Linked DNA regions of Macaca mulatta. The protein of the gene in region 2 interacts with the protein of the main gene of each other region in a pairwise test. Links are inferred from orthologs where the notes say so. Each region holds a gene or a part of one and is shown on either strand. Other genes may lie near its edges.

Region 1 (10,368 bases), on a different chromosome or scaffold from region 2:
ATCCTGAATTTGATGTTTGTGTTTCCCATGTTTATATATTTTCACATGGTTATGAATCCATAAAAAATATAGTAACATTATTTTTCATGTTTTTTATAAATGTAATTGTATATATTTTGATAACACAATACCTGCACTATACACACAATTCAAAAGTACAAAAGCATCTACAGTGCAACAGTGTCCTCCTGTACCTAGTCCCCTATATTGAGCAACTAACATAACGAAGCTTGTGTGTATCTTTAAAGAGACACACTCTATATATAAAAGCAGTCACACTTAAGATACAGATTTGCCCCTGCCTTTTATACATAAGTGGTAGGCATATTAAACACACTGTTCTACTTTTTCCTCTTAAAAATACACCCTGGAAATTGTTCTCTAAAATATACAAAGTTCCTCCCTTTTTCTTTCTTAATGTTTGAAAAGTATTTCACTACATGGATAAACCATTACTATTACATTATTAGAAAGGTTACTTCCAAAGTTTTGTATTAATATTTACAACAGGCCGGGCGCGGTGGCTCACGCCTGTAATCCCAGCACTTTGGGAGGCTGAGGCGGGCGGATCACAAGGTCAGGAGATCGAGACCACGGTGAAACCCCGTCTCTACTAAAAATACAAAAAAAATTAGCCGGGCGTGGTGGCGGCGCCTGTAGTCCCAGCTGCTCAGGAGGCTGAGGCAGGAGAATGCCGGGAACCCGGGAGGCGGAGCTTGCAGTGAGCCGAGATCGCGCTACTCACTCCAGCCTGGGAGACAGAGCGAGACTCCGTCTCAAAAAAAAAAAAAAAAAAAAATTTACAACAATATGGCAGTGAATAACCCATTATTTCATACACATGAGTACATCTATAGACTAATTCCTAGAAGTTGAATTGTTAGGTTAATTTTAATAAATGCTGTCACACTCATGTAGAGGTAGGATACCAATTTATACTCCACCAGCATAGTATGAGTGGTTTTTAAAATGTATATAAATAACAGCAGACTATACATATTCTTATATAACTTGCTTTTGAGGTCTAACCTTACACTTTAAGACTCATTCACAATGATATAACTAGCTCTAGTTCATGTTTATATATATATATATATATATATATATTTTTTTTTTTTTTTTTTTTTTTGAGACGGAGTCTCGCTCTGTCGCCCAGGCTGGAGTGCAGTGACGGGATCTCAGCTCACTGCAAGCTCCGCCTCCCGGGTTTACGTGATTCTCCTGCCTCAGCCTCCAGAGTAGCTGGGACTACAGGCGCCCGCCACCTCGCCCAGCTAGTTTTTGTATTTTTTTAGTAGAGATGGGGTTTCACTGTGTTAGCCAGGATGGTCTTTATATTTTTTACTTAAAGGAATTTTTAAATAACTTCGATGATTCATTCACAAAGAGTACAGTTACCTATGTAGTTGAAATTGCAGTTTTACACAGAAATACGAACTTAAGCCAAGCTTGGTGGCTCACGCCTGTAATCCCACTTTGCGAGGCCAAGATGGGTGGATCACCTGAGGTCAGGAGTTCGAGACTAGCCTGGTCAATGTGGTGAAACCCCGTCTCTACTAAAAATACAAAAAAATATTAATCAGGCATAGTGGTGGGTGCCTATAATCCCAACTACTTGGGAGGCTGAGGCTGAAGAATCGCTTGAACCCAGGAGGTGGAGGTTGCAGTGAGCTGAGATTGCACCATTGCACTCCAGCCTGGGAGACAAGAGTGAAACTCCATCTCAAAAAAAAAAGAGAAATACTTACCAACTTAATAGTTTATATGTATAAATAACTCATTGGCCGAAGACATACCCAGCCTACCAAAGAGATCATCTTCTCTAGAAAAACTAACAAAGACTGCCATTTTAATGATATGACTCTGCTCATCCATGCTTTTTTTGGGCAGAGGGAAGGCCCACAAGGGCATGGAACCTAACACCTTGATAACTAGAAGTTAAAAAAAAAGATGCGTTGGAAACAATAAAGACAATTCAAGCATAATCACAAAATAACCCTAGTTTTCTGTAAACTTTCCTCTCTAAATGCTACCACTAAGTAACCAAACAAATTTTTTGGCCTATAAGAGGAAACAATCACTCCGAACTTCCAGCCTACTCTCCCCGCAAGATTAAATTTCCTATAAGCATGGAATATCATGCTGGGACTTTTTCTGCATATCAATATCATATATTTTATTAGATCCCTCTTCATGTTAAATTTACCAATATATATAACTAATTTTTAAAGCTTTCTTTATTCCAAATTGTCTAAATATATGGCTAACCCTATTATTTGCAAGAATTCTTGCATAATTAAGGCTACTGGTGTTAATTACCAAGATCACCAGGATAGTGGCCATTTCTGCCTGTTCACTGAGTATCCATGTCCCCCTTTCTCTCTCCTAACAACACCCATTTATGTGTAGGTATATACCCTGTCCCTCTACACTATCCAAGTACTTAGAAGATATCTCCTGGCCCAGCACGGTGGTTCAGGCCTGTAATCCCATCACTTTGGGAGGCCGAGGTGGGTGAGATCACCTGAGGTCAGGAGTTCCAGACCAGCCTGGCCAACATGGTGAAACCCCATCTCTACTAAAAATACAAAAATTAGCAGGACGTGGTGGCTCACATCTATAATCCCAGCTACTAGGGAGGCTGGGGCAGAAGAATCAGTTGAACCCAGGAGGCAGAGGTTGCAATGAGCTGAGATCACGCCAGTGCACTCCAGCCTGGCTGACAAGAGTGAAACTCTGTCCAAAAAAAAAAAAAAAAAAAAAAGTGTTCCCTGTTCACCACATCCACACTAACATTTACTGCTTTTTGATTTTTTTATTATGGCCATTCTTGCAGGAGTGAGGTGGTATCACACTGTGGTTTTGATTTGCATTTCCCTGATCATTAGTGATGTTGAGCATTTTTTCATGTTTCTTGGCCATTTGTATATCTTCTTTTGAGAATTATCTATTCACATCTTTAGCCCACTTTTTGATGGGACTGTTTGTTTTTTTCTTATTTGTTTGAGTTCATCATAGATTCTGGATATTAGTCCTTTTTCAGATGTATTGATTAGGAAGATTTTCTCCCACTGTGTGGGTTGTCTGTTTACTCTGCTGACTGTTCCTTTTCCTGTGCAAAAGCTCTTCAGTTTAATTAGATCCCAGCTATTTATCTTTGTTTTTATTGCATTTGCTTTTGGGTTCTTGGTCATTAAATCCTTGCCTAAGCCAATGTCTAGAAGGGTTTTTCCAATGTTATCTTCTAGAATTTTTATAGTTTCAGGTCTTAGGTTTAAGTCCTTAATCCATCTTGAGTTGATATTTTATGAGGTTGAGAGGTGAGAATCCAGTTGCATTCTCCTACATGTGGCTGGCCAATTATCCCAGCACCATTTGTTGAAAAGGGTAAACAGGGAACATTTCTACACTGCTAGTGGGAATGTAAACTAGTACAGCTGCTATGGAAAAGTGTGGATATTCCTTAAAGAACTAAAAGTAGAACTACCATTTGATCCAGCAATCCCTTCTGAAAAGAAGTCATTATTCTAAAAAGATACTTGCACATGCATGTTTACAGCAGCACAATTCACAATTGCAAAATCATGGAACAAATCCAAATGCCCATTAATCAATGTATGGATACAGAAACTGTGGTATATATATACACGACGGAATACTACGCAGCCATAAAAAGGAATGAATTAACAGCATTTGCAGTGACCTGGATAAGAGTGGAGACTATTATTCTAAGTGAAGTAACTCAGGAATGGAAAACCAACATAGTATGTTCTCATTACTGATACGTGGGAGCTAAGCTATGAGGACGCAAGGCATAAGAATGATACAATGGACTTTGGGGACTTGGGGGGAAGAGTGGGAAGGGGGTGAGGGACAAAAGACTACAAATATGGTGCAGTATATACTACTCCGGAGATAGGTGCAGCAAAATCTCACAAATCACCACTAAAGAACTTACTCATGTAACCAAATACCATCTGTACCCCAAAAACTTAAAGAAAAATTTAAAAAATAAAACAAATTTTTAAACAAAAGAATATGTCTCCCACCCACCCACCTCCTTTGCACACACACATCAAAGGGTCACATTCCTCCAAGGGCAATGCCATCCCCCTTGCTAACGCCTGCTTAGGAATACAAGCATAAGCCAATTGGTCCATGGCATTCCTAGCCACAGGGACTGGATGAGCCAATGAGACTCATAAGAGGTATGCTGGCCTTCCCTGCTCTGGAGAACCACAGACAAGTTCTTCACTAGGTGAAGCTGGATTTTTCTATTACTTGTGGCAAAAAGCATCCTAACTGTTAACTTAAAAAATGAACAGGTTAAAGATTCTGATCGGCCAGGCGCCGTGGCTCACGCCTGTAATCCCAGCACTTTGGAAGGCTGAGGTGGGTAGATCACCTGAGGTCAGGAGTTCATGGCCAACACAGTGAAACCCCATCTCTACTAAAAATACGAAATTAGCTGGGTGTGGTGGTGGGCGCCTGTAATCCCAGCTACTCGGGAGGCTGGGGCAGGAGAACTGCTTGAACCCAGGAGGCGGAGGTTGCAGTGAGCCAAGATCGCACCACGGCACTCCAGTCTGGGCAACAGAGCAAGACTCCATCTCGGCAAAAATAAAAAAAGAAAAAAGAAAAAAAAATAGACCTGACTTTATTCAAGCATTCAAGTCTATATTAGGGGAATGATGAACACCCTAATCCAAGCAGAACTCTGGGAAGGGGTGGGGGCAAAAATGAACTTTTTTTTTTTTTTTTTACAAACACCTGTAAACTAAAGAGCAGTTTGTAATTGCTAACAAGAAATATCATAGCCAAAGATAAAGTTAAAACTTCCAGGGCACAGAAACATCTTATTGGCCTTATATGGACCTGTCCCAATGGCTGTTATTACCCAATTCTTGCATTTGCTTCTTAATTTGCTTCTTACTTCCTCCTGACATTGTCAGCCTTGCCGATTTTCATAAGAAGGTTCAGGCAGTTGCTTCCCTGTGGGATATACAACAATTTTCCAATTCTATGACTCAGAAAATGGCAAGAGAAGGAAGGGTTCTTCTCTTCTAACCCTAGACAAAATCAGAAAATGTTTATTTAGCTCTGGGAGAGTAAGGCTCAGTTGAGTTACGGTACAGACTTTCACAAACTTTTTTTCTTTCAACTCAAATATTTACCAAGAACTTAGTATATGCAAGTCAGTCTATTATTTATCCAAAGCCAATGCATGAATTATTTTCATCAGTTCCAAACTTCCTTTCTCTGTATCCCTTATAGCAAAGTCAAATATTTTAAAGAAAAAAAAAAAAAAATCACACCTCACAAAACTTGCAATTAAACGTTTTTTTGCCAGGATTGGTGGACTGAAGAGCAAGCTTATTTCCAGAATATTGTTTTGAAAGAGTACACATTTTTCTTTCTTTTAATTTCAATAGCTTTAGGGGCACAAGTGGCTTTAGGTTACACAGATGAACTGCATAGTGGTGAAGTCTGGGCTTTTAGTGTACCCGTCACTCGAATGGTGTACAATGCACCTAATATGCCTTTCTTAAAACAAAAGTTCAAATGTTTATTAGAATAATCGTTTATTAGAATACAAATAGCCTTTGAAAATAAGTGGAAACGAACTGTATTAATAAAGTAATAAATACTATCTGGAGGCAACATCTGAACTAACAACCAAGTTTCGCACGGAGAAACTCCTGTTAATTCGGAAACACTAAAGGAACAGTCTCATTCAGAACGTAAAGCATGCATCGCAAATATTGAACCAGTTTATATTCATTAACTGCTCCGAAGGAAACCAGTGATCCTTTCCGACGAGATGGCCTTTTTTAAAAAATGATGTCGGCTACCCACAAAGAAACCTTACTTCTGCGGAAACACATGTCGCTCTCGGGAAACAGCAGGGGCCGGTAAATCGACGGCCTCCTACAGAGGACGGAAATATGGACAACGCCGAGGACCGCCAAGGAAGCGATGGGCTGGCCCTGAGCCAAGGGAGCACAACCCGGGCGCACAAGAGGCTGTCTCCCCAGGGATCGCGCCCGGCGCCCCCTCTCAGCACCCAGAGCGCGCCACGCCGCCCGCCTGCCCCACCTGGGAAAGTTTGCACCTCCTCATCCCCGCCCCTCGCACCTACCAGCCCCTCCGGCCGCGGCGCCGTCGCCATGGCGACTGGTCCCCACCCCACCCCCACCCGGCTGTGCTGGCCGCGCCGCAGCCCCGCGGCGGCTGGGGAGAGCTCCCGCAGGATCCGGGACAGGGGCTGCCCAGCCCTGGAAAGGAGGGACGCAGCGGACGGGGGAGGATGAAGAGGTGCCGAAAGCGGAAGTCGTGCGGCTCCCCAGCTGGGGTCGAGCCTAGCCCTGGGGGTTCTCACCCTTCACTTTGCCGAAGGTGCCGACCCCCAGCGTGTCACCCAGGATGTAGTGGCCGATCTTCACCCGCCCGTCGTGTTTCTGCTTCTCGGCTGTCGCCATCTTTCTCCAGGAACTGAGTCTGCGCATGGCGCTGCGGGAGGGGGCGGAGGGGGCGGGCAGGGCCGCGCCGGGGGCGGGCGGGGAGGGGGTGGGGACGCGGGAGGGCAGCCGCCGAGCTGAGCCACCGCCCTGCGCCGCCAGCCCAGGCCCCGCAGCCGCCGTCGGGCGCAGACGCTCCCCCTGGCGGGGCGGGCGGGGGCTGCCGGGAGAAGCACCGGTACCCGCCTCCTCGCCCCGCATCCTCGGGCCTGGGCGCCCGCCCACCGGCACGCGGAGGGGCTTACTGGAACGATTAAGGGAACCGTCGCCCCCCCGGCTCCTTCTCCTCTGGCAGAGTTTCTGCCGGCAGTGAGCTTCCCTAATTACCACTCTGGGGTCGGAGAAGACCCTTCTGCGGGTGATTCCAGAGGGGAGATGAGGACTGGGAAGCCCGCTTGAGTGATGCAGATCCGTGGCTTGTTACAAGGGGCGCGTGAATTAAAGCAAGGCAGGGGGCACCGCCCTGCCACTCCTTTCTAATCTTGATTCTGATCTTTCCTTCTTGGATGGAATCTAGAAGCCGCAGGAGTTTTCACTTGCGTCTGTGATGGAGTTTCCCGCTCCCCCCTCCCCGCCCCCGCCACCACCACCGCCGCCGACCCGCGCTCTTTTTTCGCTTGGAGCCCGTAAATTGCTACTGGACACCACGATGGCTCTAGGAGCGCTGTCGGTGTTTTCTTCTGGAGGTGATCCTGAAATTTCTTCCCCAAAGCAAACTCTGTTGCGAGGAGCAGGCTGGGGATATGTACAAGTGAATGTGTATTCCAAGAGGGGGATGATACGCAAATCTTTTGGTGTATAGGAATTAATACTTTCAGATTATCGGTAAAATGTATACGTTCACTGGACTGAGAACAAGGCTTACAGTTACATCAACCGGATCAACAAATATTTATTGTACTTACAATGAGTAATACTTAATGTATTATATAAACATAAATGGAACCATACCATAGCATAAAGTCTGCTTATTTTTAATAAAATGTTTGAGTTTGTTACTCAATTCCACTCCTCTAATTAGTAGTCAAAATCAAGTGTTCTGTTTTAAAACGTTTATATTCTCTCAGTTTTGGAATGTCATAGCACTGGGCCAGTGTCAATGCCCCTCCCCCCCAAAAAAATTGCATCTTCATGAAAAGAAAAGTAAAAAACTAATAGTCATTTTTAATCCCAACAAAAATCAATTACCCAACTCTTCTGATTTTCTCCTCTCTGTTTCTGAAATCAAAGTAACATGCATTAGGCACCGTTTTCTTCCAAGGAAGATATTGCAGGGGAAGCAAAAGTTTCTGCCTTTGAGCTTAGAATTACACCAGATAAGCAGAGAACAGTTCCAGCTAGCCTTCACCAAGTTCCTACTGTATTGAGGACTGCACATTGTTTGAAGAGCAAAAAGTTAAGAAATCTTTGATTACTGATGTATTTGGGGGGCAGGTGGTGTGGTGGTTACTGTTGTAACTTTTGGTGTCTTGCTTTTTCACTTTTATCTGTTCGCCTTGTGAATTTCTACACAAGGCATCTCTGCAAAGCAGAATTTTTGGATTTTGGATCTCTGTAAAGCAGAAATAGCTCTCTGGATTTCCGTGTGCGGCAGGGAACCTTAAACTCCCTCCCCTCCCCAAATAGCATCTTAAATTACTTTAAGTTTTTATTATGTCTAGAATTTAACCCAGGAAAGTTCTGCCATTTCTTCTAACCTGAAAGAAAAAGATCTGACATCTCTCCTCAGGCCCAAGGGTGGGAGAGAGAGTACCCTAGGGAAAAAAAAAAAGGAAAAGATAGCAAAGGACCTCAACTGTGTACCACTCACTGAGCATGTTGCAAGGGAACAAACTGAAGCTGAGTTTTGCAAATCCATTTGCCAATCTCTTCTTTAAACTATGAAAATTCAAGAAAGTAACATAACCTTTTTTTTTAGTAGAAACATCGGTTTGTTTCTGCTTTGTGCCATTGTAGATTATAATTCTATTTAATAAATAGTCATTAACTGGCATTTACACTTAAAAGCGTTTTTGGGGAGATAAAACCTAGAATTATAGATCAAAAAATTGGATAGAAGCTTAGACATCATCTTATCCAGTTTCCCATAGTCTCTGTTTAAAGCAGCTTTAATTGCTCAGTGTTTTTAATTTTGGTTTTGTTTCTTTTCCATTCATGTTGAGTTAAAAACTGAATCCAATTCACTGTTTGTAAGACTACTGTATTAAGAAGCCTCCTGTATTCCTTTGCTTTTTCTCTTAATTACCTTTTTAAATTTTTGTCACATTTTCTTCCACCCTGTCTTCCTTTCATTCTCCCATTGATCTATTCCCAAATGTTCACTTCCTTCATTCTTCAAACTTTTGTTAACTGCCAGACACTATAGAAAATTTCATTTTTCTAAAAAATGAAAAGTCACGGTCCCTACCTCGAAAGAGCTCCTGGTCTACAGTAGCAGTCCTCTATATTCCACCATCCCCGCACCCATCCAGGAGAGATAATATTTACATACTCAACATTCTACCAGGGGGAAGCAAAGATAAGGTAGACTGTGACTTACACCCAGTTTCCTGACCTATCTGTTGTAACTGTACACCATCTCAGTAAAATGTATTGGAATATAAGTGGGCAGACTCCTCGGAGTCATCTTCTCAAGGTTATTACAGCATTACTGGACTCTATACTGCCAGGTGGATATTACACTTCTCCAAGGACTATCTCTAAATATGGTGGCTGGAACTAAAACTTCTGAGTACTACACTGCTATTAATGCAGGCTAATATTTCCTTAGCTTACTTGTAGCTACATTGTAACTAATATTTTATTTGTATTAAACAAACACTATGTACTGGGCAGTTCGCTAGATCCTAGGGACTTAAACAAAGGAACATGGTTCTGCCTTCTAATAGGAGACAAAGCAATGTTATAGGTGCTATAATAAAAACACAAGTCTAGACAATGTAGTGAGATTCTGTCTTTACAAAAAAAATAAAAATAAATTCAAAATTAGCTGGGTCTGGTGGTTCTCACCTATAGTCCTAGATCCTTTGGAGGCTGAGGTGTGAGGATCAGTTGAGCTCAGGAGGTACAGGCTGCAGTGAGCTATGATTATGCCACTGTACTCCAGCCTGGGTGACAGAGCAAAACGCTATCTCTTAAAAAATAAACAAAATAAAACGCATATATGGTGCTAAAGGCCATCATGAGAGATCAGTATAACCTTTATCTGTGGAGGTCTGCCAAAGCTTTAACTTGAATATGTTTATGGTGAAGTATTAAGAGATGATGATTTCTACACACAAAAGGGAGGCCACCCAGGCACAGTGTCTCACACCTGTAATCCCAACACTTTGGGAGGCCGAGGCAGGAGGCTCACTTGAGCTCAGGAGTTTGAGACCAGCCTGGGCAACATTATGAGACCTCATCTCTACAAAAAATCAGCCAGGCGTCGGGGTGCATGCCTGTAGTCCCAGCTACTCAGGAGGCTGAGGTGAGAAAATCATCTGAGCCCAGGAGGTCAAGGCTGCAGTGTGTCGTGTTCATGCCACTGCACTCCAGCCTGAGTGACAAAGTGAGACCCTATCTCAAAAATATAAAAATAAAAAAGTAAAGAAGGCCAGGCGCAGTGGCTCACACCTGTAATCCTAACACTTTGGGTGGCCGAGGCAGGTGGATTGCCTGAGCTCAGGAGTTGGAGCAGCCTGAGCAACATGGTAAAACCCTGTCTTTACTAAAATACAAAAAATTAGCCAGGCATGGCGGTGTGCACCTGTAATCCTGCTACTCGGGAGGCTGAGACAGGAGAATCACTTGAACCTGGGAGGCAAAGGTTGCAGCGAGCTGAGATCGCGCCACTGCACTTCAGCCTAGG
Region 2 (10,368 bases):
TGCCTGAGGATGAGACCTCTGTCAGTTCTGTTTGCTCAGGGGACAAACTAGAAGATGGGACCTCTCTCAGTCCTCTCTGCTCAGAAAGAAACCTGAGGATTGTACTCTGTCGGACATTTCTGCTCATGGACAGGGCTGATGATAGGATCTCTCTCAGTTGTTCTGCACAGGGGACACCTGAGTATGGGACCTCTTTCAGTCCTCTTTGCTCATGGAACAGGCCTGAAAATGAGACCTCTGTCATTTCTCTATGATCAGGGACAGAGTTGAGGACAGCACCTTTCACAGTTCCCCCTGCTCAGGTTTCGGAGAGAGGCCTCTCTGCTCAGGAGACCCAACTCAGTCCTCTCTTGTTAAGGAACAGGTCTTATGATGGCACCCATCTCAGTTAATTTTCTCAGAGGTATACCTGTAGACAGGACCGCTCTCACTCCTCTCTGCTCGGGGGACAGACCTGAGGACAAGACCTCTCTCAGACCACTTTGATCAGGGACAGGCCTGGTGACGGGACCTCTCTCAGTCCTCCCTGCTCAGGGGACAGGCCTTAGGATGGGACCCCACTCAGTCTTGTCTATTCTGGGACAGTCCTGAGGACGGGACTTCTCTGAGTCCTTTCTGCTCAGCCTCAACCCCCATGATTGGGCTCTGATCCCGCTCCCTCATCCACTGCTCAAGCCGTCTGTGAGCCCACGAGGTTGCTGCTTATTGGATGGGCTTGGTCAGCCCCTGGGCACCCGGGAAGGCACCTCGATGGACCTTTCTGTCCCCAGGCCACACATGCCCCGTGCCCCCACCCCCCAGGGACACTTGGTGAGGACTGTGCAGTGAAGCACAATGCATGGTAGGAGCTCTGCAAGCCGGCACACACCAAGGGCCTGGCCAGGATGAAAGGGACAGGGGGCCCCGTGGTGGGGCCCGTCCTTCAGGCCCAACAAAGTCTCCTGGCTCCAGGCTGGTGGGGAAGCAACTGGTTCCTCCCGGTACCGCCTTCCAGACTCCCTGGCTAGATCCCTTCCAGGTTTCACAACCCAGCTATCCAGCATGTGTGCTCACACGCTCACTGACACAGTCGCGCACACGTTCAGTGACACGCTCACGTTCCAGACGCACTCACATGCGCGCACACATTGAGTGACAAACACGCATTGAATGACACATACATGCCTGCTCATCGACACACCCACATTTGCAGTCAGCACACTCACGCACAATGACTCACAAACACACACACACACTGACACGCATTGACACACTCACAGTGTCACACACATGCAGCGACATGCATGCTCACCTTCAATGGCACAGCCTCATTCCCCCACACACTCCCACTCACACATGCTTAGTGATGCAGTCACATGCTGTCACTTGGATTCACACACACTTTCTCAGAAACTCATGCACATGCTCACACTGACACACACACGCACATGCGCAAACACACCCGCTCAGACACTCACGGCACACACAGGTCCACTCTGAACAGGGAAAACCAAGGAGCCCTGACAGGCTCTGGCAAGGTCAGCCAAGCTCTTCGCCCTCTCTTCTTGTCCTGTCCCTGAAATCTGGAGGGGCCCTTGGAAAGTGAGCAGTTGACTTGGCCCTGCTGAGACACAAGGGACAGACATGCTGGGGTTGTGCCCAGCCTGAAGAAGGCAGGGACAGCAGAGCACAGTGGGGGCCACAGGCATGCCCGCAGGGCACCCCGATGCGACACACTACAAGGGTCCCTGAGACACTGGTTAGGCACCTTCAGGCCGAGGAGGCTGCAGACCCAGCCCCAGGGACCTGCTGCCCCTGCCCCTCCCCGACAGCCCCGCAAAACTACCCCCCGCCCACGCCTGCACTCGCCTGTGTATGCCTAGTGTCTCCCAGGGCCCCTGCCGCCCTGCAGCCCTGCTGACTGCAGCTCTGCTCAAGCAGACAGGTCGCCTAGATCCAGGGTTCCTCAGCCCAGGCGGGCAGCCACCCATTCCCAGCACTGGCTCCCAGGCTGCTTTGGGGCACCCTGGCTATCATCTGAGCCAAGGGGATGGTCGGAGGCTCTGTGCTCCAGAACAGCTGGAGGAAGCGTGTGGGCACAGACTGAGTGAGCTCTGGGAGACCCTCGCCAGGTCCAAGTCACTGATCCCGTCCCCTCCCCGCACTTGTGCAGGGAGGGGCCTATCAGTTGTCCCAGTCCTGTTGCCCACAGACTCTGGGTTAGTTAAATGGCTGATCGAGGACTACCCTCAATTTGTGGCGAGCTCCCTGGCCTGTTGGGAGAGAGAGCCAGTCCCAGGAGGGCTCAGGAGGGCGGGTTCCAGGATCCTCAGGCCCCCACTGAGGACTGCCCCTCCGGCCAGTGCTCAAGGAGGGGTGTTCGGATTAGCAGCGCTGTCCACCCTGAGGGAGCCCTCCTCAGGCAGCATCCAGGGCTCAGAGGGCCTCGGGGACGCAGGACAGAAAGGGGTCACTCCCCAGGGCCATCTGGACTTGCAGCTCATGGCCCACTGCCTGCTCCCAGGACACAGGAGTAGAGGCCCCCCCAGCACACTGGGAAGAGAGCAGAACAGGACCCAGGATGAAGTGCAGCTCCCCCCGCCCTTCCTCTCCCCCTCCCCGACACATAAGCACTTGGGATCCCTGTCTGACCAACACTCTGTCCCTTGGCCATCACACACACACACTATCCCCAAACATCCCTCAGTGGTTAGGCCAAGGCTGGCCACCTGCGGCCTGATCTGGGAGGGTGGGCACACAGCAGCCCCTGCACCACCCCCTGAGTCCTGCACACAGCTCTTCACAGGGCCTCTGACTGCCTGTCCAGGCCCTCCTGGGGTTCTTCTCTGACCTTGGTTTCTGCCCTCGGTTGCACACATGGCCTCTCTGACCCTTCTGGAAGCCTTGAGCCACACCCCTACAGTGCTGCCAGGAATCAGGGGCCTGGAACCCACCTGCTGCCCCTTGCCCAGCCTTCAATATCCAACCCACTTATTCCTGAGGGCACCTGGAGTGCCTTTAGTACCCAACCAGTCACTGCTCATGACCACCAGCATCCTGTCGCCAGGCTCCATGCAGCCCAAGGCACACCACAGGTCCTCATGGACACACACCCCAATGTCAGCCTGGCCACTGTGGCCTCGTCCCCAGCAGACCACCGCCCACCCCAGTTTCATACAGAAGAGGCAAGACACTGCTGGAACACTGAACAAAATTTATTGAAGAGAAACATGAACTGAAACCGCTGAAGAGAAGGGAATTGTAACACAGACAGACACTGCAAACAACCACTGCAAGTCACAAGTCCCAGGCCCCTCCCTCACCGTGGCTCCCCCTACCACATCCCTCCTTCCACAGGGCCCCAGGATCCACCTCTTGCCAGGATTGTGGGCTCTGGCAATGTGTACTCACTTCAGGTAACCCCCTCCTGAGCCCACCCGCTGGGGCAGGGCCCTGTCTTATAGACTGCACAGGACAGTCACAGGATGCTGGAAAACATAGCAGGGAACACCCCACCAAGTTGAGGAAACTGAGTCACGAGTAACAACAGGGGTGGAACGCCAAAGCACAAAGCTTCCTGGGGAGCCTCAGGCAGCCCTGCTCCGTCCTGTGTCTGGTTCGTCCTCCTGCAGTCAAGGTCACGGTCACAAGGTGAGCGTCTGCCATGCCTCCTTCCCACTGTCTCCTGGAACTGCGCTGGGGTACTCTGGAAAGGAGCTGCTCAGATACAAACACAAACATCCCCAAGAGAACAAGCAGCTGCTGGCCGAGATCTACACCGGCAAAGCAGAGGTGGAGTTCTTGACACGGAACAGCAGTGAGCAGAGCCTGGGCCTGGTGATGACGCAAACCAAAAACAACTACCCACCCCCAACAAGTCCTCTCTTCTCACACTTCTTCCTCCTCCTTCCCCTCTTCCTCCTTCTCCTCCCCCTCTTCCTCCTCCTTTTCTTCCTGCCCCTCCTTATTCTCCTATTCCTCCTCCTGATCATCCTCTTCTTAATTCTCCTCCTCTTTCTCTTCCTCACTGGTGCAGGGGGTCATGAATGCTGCCTTCCTGGGGCTCCCCTCATGCAGTGTAAATGATCCTAAAGACGGGCTGGACCCTGCAGCCTCCCCTGCCGGGCTTCACTTCTCCCCCACAGCTCTTCCTCAGCAGCCCTGGCTCCTTCTGGCAGAGGCAGGCCCCAGGCAGGCTCCTCCAGGTCCCACATGGCCTGGGTGCCAGTGGGCATTCTCAGCTCAAAGTTCACAGGGTGGATATTTGGGGGTGTCCAGATGACCAGGCCAGAGCCCCCAGCCACACCGTCTTCAGCCCCTGCTTTGTTGGGGTCCCCATCTGAAGCCCAGCCACCCCCTGTGCTAAGTGTAGCTGTTCCCTGCTTGTGTCTCCTATACCTGTTAGGGGCCATGGGCCTGGCCCCCACTGAACCAGATGCTATTTGGTCTAGGTTGGTGAAGTCCCTTCCAGCTGGTGGAAAGTAAAGGGGCTTGATCTTGACCTGGCTTCCCTGTCCCTCTGCCCCAATCAAGTTCCCTGTTAGTGTAAGCTGCCCTTTGTTCAAATGTCCCTGCTGCCTGCCAGGGGAAGGAGTGCTTGGGTCTTCTGAGCCTATGTTTCCCAGGGCTTGGGATGGCTCATGGCCCCAGCCCCTGCCTCGTTTCCCGACTCCTCTCCTGCAGCCTGTGGCCCCTCCCTGCCTGGAGTCTGGTTTTCAGCCTTGGGATACATGGCCTGGCCATAGTCTTCTTCCCTAGTGCTTTCACTGCACGACAGCCGCCTGCGTTTCACTAATGGGGGTAAGCCTCCCTGTACAGTCTGGGTGCTGCTGTCGCTCAAAGACCTTGCCTGCACGGTGGCCTGAGGTGCAGAGGCACTGGCTTCTGCTCTTGCCTGTCTACCAGAGGCCCCCCGGCCTCTCCCTGATGGCTTCTCCTTATTCTTCATCACTGCCTCAGTGTTCTCCCACTCTTCTTCATCTCGAATAAGCTTCATTAACTCCAGAAAATTGGGAGGACACCCTCGCTGATCCAAGAGCTCCAGCTTGCCTCTGAGGGCGGGGGTCATGGAGACCCGAGCTAAGAGATGTTTCAGACGAATCATGTCTGCGCTGCGCACTGACAAGGGGCTCTTCTGCACTGCTTTCTGCAGCAGGGGCTCTAAGCGCAGCAGGAAAGTGGAGACTTTCTCTCCAATCTTCGGAAAGGTCTGCAGAAACTTAAACTGAGAGGCTCTGAAGTCCTCTTTATCCCCAAAGATCTGCTTTAAGGCGTCAAGGCACTGCTCCACAGTTATGGAGTCATTGTTGGCCTGGAGCACCCGCATGATTGACAGAGCAGGCCCTCGTAAGCTCTCCAGCAGACGCCGTCTCTTCTCCATCTCAGACACTTGCCATATGGGCATTATCTCAGTGACCTGCTCCAGCCAGTCTTCAAAGGTCTCTTCACCTGGGCTAGCGGAAGCAGTTCCCGAAAACACTTTCAGTTTCCGGTACCACATACTTTCTTTCAGAGGCTCTAAAGGTGGGGGTCTAACTTGGGGTACGACCTCTGCATCCAGGCTCTCGGCAGGGAGGCTGCAACATCCCAGGGCTCTGGCCACATCTGTCATACTTCGGCCCTCATCTTTCAGGAAGTAGTTCAGTCTAATGAGAAACTCGTCATCTGGGTTACGGGGTTTTACCACCACTTCCCAGGAGCCCCCCTTTCCTGGTATGTGACTAGGCAGAGTAGTGTAATCGACAGTGTCAGCCAATTCAATGAAGACTGCCTTGGCGTTGTCTTCCCTCCTGAACATTCTCCCTAGCACCCTGTATGCGCGCAGGGGCTGTAAGCCTGCCTGCACAGTGTCCTGAATTTCCACCTCACTACACTCCACGGGGATGCCTATGATCAGCAGGGCCTTTCTGGGGTCCATGTCCATCCCCTTGCACCAATCCTCTAGCAGTGTCAATGCCATTGCTCCCACTTTCTATGGACTGATCTAATACTAGGGCAGCAATCAGCTTAGTTTGACAGCACTCAAATAACTCTGAGCCACTGCCACGTAGGAAGGTAGAAGTGGTCCCAGGTTTCCACAGCCTGCAAAGCAAATGGGATGAGAGCATTGTTAATGCCTACCCCAACCTATACCCCCAAGCACCCCTCCTCTGCCCCCACCCCCGAGCAGGGATGGAGTCCCTTCTTCCCAGGGTTCCCCAAGTTATTTTGGGGAGGGTAGAGGGTGGAGGTTCTCCCCAGGCAAAGATCTCCTCATCTCACCACTCCCTGCTGACCTCCTCCTGCTGTGGGTTCCTCCTCGAAGTCCAGAGGACTCTGCTGTGTGTGCTTCGGGTATCTGTAGTGAAAAGGCCAAAGTCAGGAGGCAGGGCCTGACATCTGGGGACACTGACAAGCTCTCCAGGCAGAAGAGGGCAGGAGACGGCCTCACTGCTCACTCAGGGCTATGTGGGCTCAGGTCACCCAGCACCCTCCTTGCTGGAGTGAAGGCTGGCAGCAGGAGAGGTAGAATGGCCCTCTTTCTCAGGAACGCCTGACAGATGAGAAAGATGGCCGAGCTCTGCGCAATGCAATGAGAGTGGTGGGTGTGGAGATTGTGTGACAAGCTGCAGTGTTGCCATGGATACAGAGAATACCATGGACCATGGGTTGCTATTGCAGGGGAGTGTCATGTGGTAAGGCTAAGGTCCTTGAGAAGCAACAGGTGATGTCATTGGCCTCCAACCAATAAAGCTTCCCAGCAAAAAGGAGGGTGGGAGAGGGAAGGCGAGGTGGGCTTGAGGAGTGAGTGCTGAAAGGACAGGAGCTCATGGTTTCAATTGTGTGGAAGCTGAAATCAGGTAGAAAAGGGACCCTGATGAGGTCCCCACTGCCAGACTGCAGGAAACCAACAACTCTTGCCCTAGAGATGGCCCTACCCTGCAGAGTCTGTGAACGCTGGCAGGCAGTCCCCTCTCCACACTCTTTGCAGGGGTTCCAGAGACCCTCCCAACAGGGCCCACCTCACAGCTGCTCACCTTTCTGGGTTGGCCCTGCTGGCAGCGCAGATGCTGCAATAACACAGTCACTTCAGAGTCGCTCTGCTCTTCAACTCTATCCAATTAGGCAGTTCCTGACTCAGGCGTGATGGTTCCTGCTTCCCTGGATCTGTCCAAGGCAAAGCACAGGTATTTTGCTGTGATTCTGTCCCACACACATGTCCCTGCTCAGGCCATGCCAATTCAGATTCTGCATAGGTGTCCACTAGGACCCTGGTGCAGGGGTAGAAGAAACTGCACAACTGGCAGAGGGAAGAGGAGGGGGGAAAGGGGGGAGGGGTGGGGGGGAAGGAGGAGTGGGGGGAAGAATGGCGAGAGGGGTGGGAGGTGAGGAGGGAGGTGGGGGGCGGGGGGGCTGCTGCTAGGGCAGAAGGGATCCTAAGGTAAGGTTGCGGCCCCACCCCCACTGCAAACTTCATTCCCTCCCAAGCCCCACCCCTGCAGCCATGTTGCACCCCTTCCTAAGCCCCACCTCAAAACTTGCACGCCTGCTGCCAAACTCTGCCTACAACTAAGTTGCACCTCTACCCCAAGCCTAGCCCCCCACCAAGTCCAACTCCTTCCACCACCCAAGTCTAACTCCCGCCTCAAGCCCTGCCCTCACCCACAGTCCAACTCCTACCCCAAGCCCTGCCCCCTCACCAAGTCCAACTCCTACCTCCATGCAAGTCTAACTGATGTCCCCAAACCCCCACCTCCATTTCCCTGTTCCCCCAATCCCCACCCTGTTATTTACATACACCCACACCACCGACACCAGTGGAAGCAGGCAGAATCTAGGAGGGGAAGGTTCGAAGCCACTTTCCCTCAAGGGCAAGGGCCAAGAGCTACTGTCCTGACTGCAGTGTCTCCGGGCAGGGTCGAGGGTGGAATACGTCTCCCTGAAGTTTTTTTTTCTTTTTTTTGAAACGGAGTCTCACTCTGTCACCCAGGCTGGAGTGCAGTAGGGTATGATCTCAGCTCACTGCAACCTCCGCCTCCTGGGTTCAAGCGATTCTCCGACCTCAGCCTCCTGAGTAGCCGGGATTACAGGCGTATGCCACCATGCCCGGCTACTTTTTGTATTTTTAGTAGAGACCGGGTTTCCCCATGTTGGCCAGGCTGGTCTCCAACTCCGGACCTCAGGTGATTCACCCGCCTTGGCCTCCCAAAGTGCTGGGATTACAGGTGTGAGCCACCGCGCCTGGCCAGGTCTCCCTGAAGTTCTGCCTGGAAATGGCAGGGATTCCTCGGGGTGCTGTGTGTGATCTAGTGGGATCCCGCCTCCATGGAAACCTATGGCCACCAGCCCCTAGACCCCGTTGAAAATAGCAAGGATTATTGGGGGGATCCCCCGCAATCTGAGTTGCTGTCTAAGCCCGGGGTCCAGCTCCGTACCTGCCGGAGGTGCCTCCAAGCCGGTGTTCCCGCGCAGCGCGACCACCACACGTCTATGGCGGCTGCCGCCTCCGTGCCGACTGCGCCACGAGGCTGTGGCGGGAAGAGGTTGTCTGGAGACGACACCACTCCCCCAGCGGAATTGCACACGGCCCGCTCACGGTTGCGCACTGGTGACATAAACTCTCCTACTTCCCACAAGGTGGTTCCTCACCCCGCCCCCCCGTGCCAGCCTGAGCCAGCCTGCACCTTTGAGGACAGAGAATGCAAGCCCAGCTGGGAGCCACTTACATTGCAGAATAGCTCCCAGTCCTGTTGTTTATTGGCTGGACGATGGTGGCAGCCAGGCTCGCCACGTGCCATTTGGCCCAGCAGCCATTGTGGCTGTTCCCCATTGGAGGGGAGCTGTGGCGTCCCAAGCCTGTGGTGAAGGGCCGGGTGCAAAACACCCCGTGCAACGTATAGGCCACGTGAGCGCGCTTGCTACCTGAAAGTCATAGCCCCCGTTTTTTACTGGACTGTGTTCTAGGGGAGGAGGGCAAAAAATACAGCTAATGCCTGCATTTCACAAGGGCATTAGTTTTTTTCACTGCTCACTGAGAGCCAGTGACTGAAAATATTCCATTCTCCCATTATTCTCCTGATTTCACGACCAAATATTACGCACCTAGTACCCAAGCTGCTTCCTGTCGTTTCCCAAAGCAGGTTTCTTCCACAGAGGGAAGATCCTGGGGCCTGCAGTGGCCCGAAAGTGCTGTTCCAGAAAAGGGTGTGGGTGCGGCACAGGTAGCATACTTCAAGATGCACATAAATCCCCTGGTAATCTTAAAAAAATGCAGGTTCTGAGTAAGGAGATCTGAGGCAGGGCTGGTTCCGCTGAAAGCTGGGTTACTTGCTGCATATCCCTGCCCAGGCTATGTGGAGCAAGGGTCTGAAGCCTATGATTACATTTCAGGGCCAGAAGTTATGGACCTTTAATGACAGAATATATTTGTTTTTCTTTCTTTGTGATTAAAAACAAAACAAAACAAAAACAGGCTTTTCTGGTAATGTTTTAATAAATATGTTAAAAGCAGACAACATTTTAAATTGATGGTCACTAAGCAAGATATTTGCAGATGTCACCTTCTTCAGCCAGGTGTGGTGGCTCACACCTGTTATCCCAGCACTTTGGGAGGCCAAGGTGGGCAGATCACTTGAGATCAGTCTGGCCAACATGGTGAAACCCCGTCTCTACTAAAAATCCAAAAATTAGCTGGGTGTGGTGGTGCAGGCCTGTAATCCCAGCTACTCAGGAGGCTGAGGCACGAGAATCGCTTGTACCTGGGAGGCAGAGGTTGCAGTGAACCCAGATTGCACCACTGCACTCCAGCCTGGGCAACAAAGCGAGATCCTGTCTTTTTTTTTTTTTTTTCTTCTGAGAAGGAGTCTTACTCCTTCTCCAGCCCAGGCTGAAAATAGTGCTGGAAGCCATTGCTTAGCTGCCTGGTATCACAACATCACAGAAGGTGATGCCTCGGAAAGAGGTTCTGCCTCAGTCACCTCTGAGCTACTGAGGCCTGTGAATGTAGTGATCTGGGGGACACAGTCTGGAGTCCTAGTACCTGGCTGTCCGCCAACTCCCAGCTTCCAGACCCTGCCCCTAAGCATGAGCTTTCTCTCTGCCAGTTTCCAACCCCCTTTTTCTCTCAACACTTCCACTAGGCCATTTTGAGGGTAGAGGGTCAATGGTTGGGCCTGTTGTCCCCAGAGGCTCAAGCCTTGGCACATCAAGCCCTTACCATGCAGGTCCCGTTCCCAGGGCAACATGGATGCCTCCCCCTGTCTAGCTATTTGCCTCCCCCGGAGACTCTGAGATTTTTCTCCTTCATCTATCTGAGGCTTCTGGGAGAAGTTGGAAGCCCATGTGCCCTTAATACAGCCGACCTGAGATATCCCTGCCCTGTGCAGCCCCAGCTGCACTGCTGAGGCGTGA

Evidence for each region. The genes of interacting proteins can lie anywhere in the genome.
Region 1: the proteins of PNMA5 (region 2) and PRKAA1 interact in binary tests that used the Homo sapiens proteins (3 or more experiments, as listed by UniProt). The two-hybrid records come from large-scale screens. The link is inferred for Macaca mulatta from reciprocal best matches to the Homo sapiens genes PNMA5 and PRKAA1.

Annotation. Positions count from the first base shown.
Region 1 is NC_133411.1:41,868,833-41,879,200, forward strand, and holds the start of PRKAA1 (5'-AMP-activated protein kinase catalytic subunit alpha-1), read right to left. Parts: upstream 6,692-10,368; 5' UTR 6,507-6,691; coding exon 6,380-6,506; intron 1-6,379. UniProt on the Homo sapiens protein: Catalytic subunit of AMP-activated protein kinase (AMPK), an energy sensor protein kinase that plays a key role in regulating cellular energy metabolism.
Region 2 is NC_133426.1:159,261,699-159,272,066, forward strand, and holds PNMA5 (paraneoplastic antigen-like protein 5), read right to left. Parts: upstream 6,548-10,368; 5' UTR 6,417-6,547; exon of another isoform or gene 6,317-6,416; 5' UTR 6,255-6,316; exon of another isoform or gene 6,241-6,254; intron 6,061-6,240; 5' UTR 5,939-6,060; coding exon 4,592-5,938; 3' UTR 3,176-4,591; downstream 1-3,175.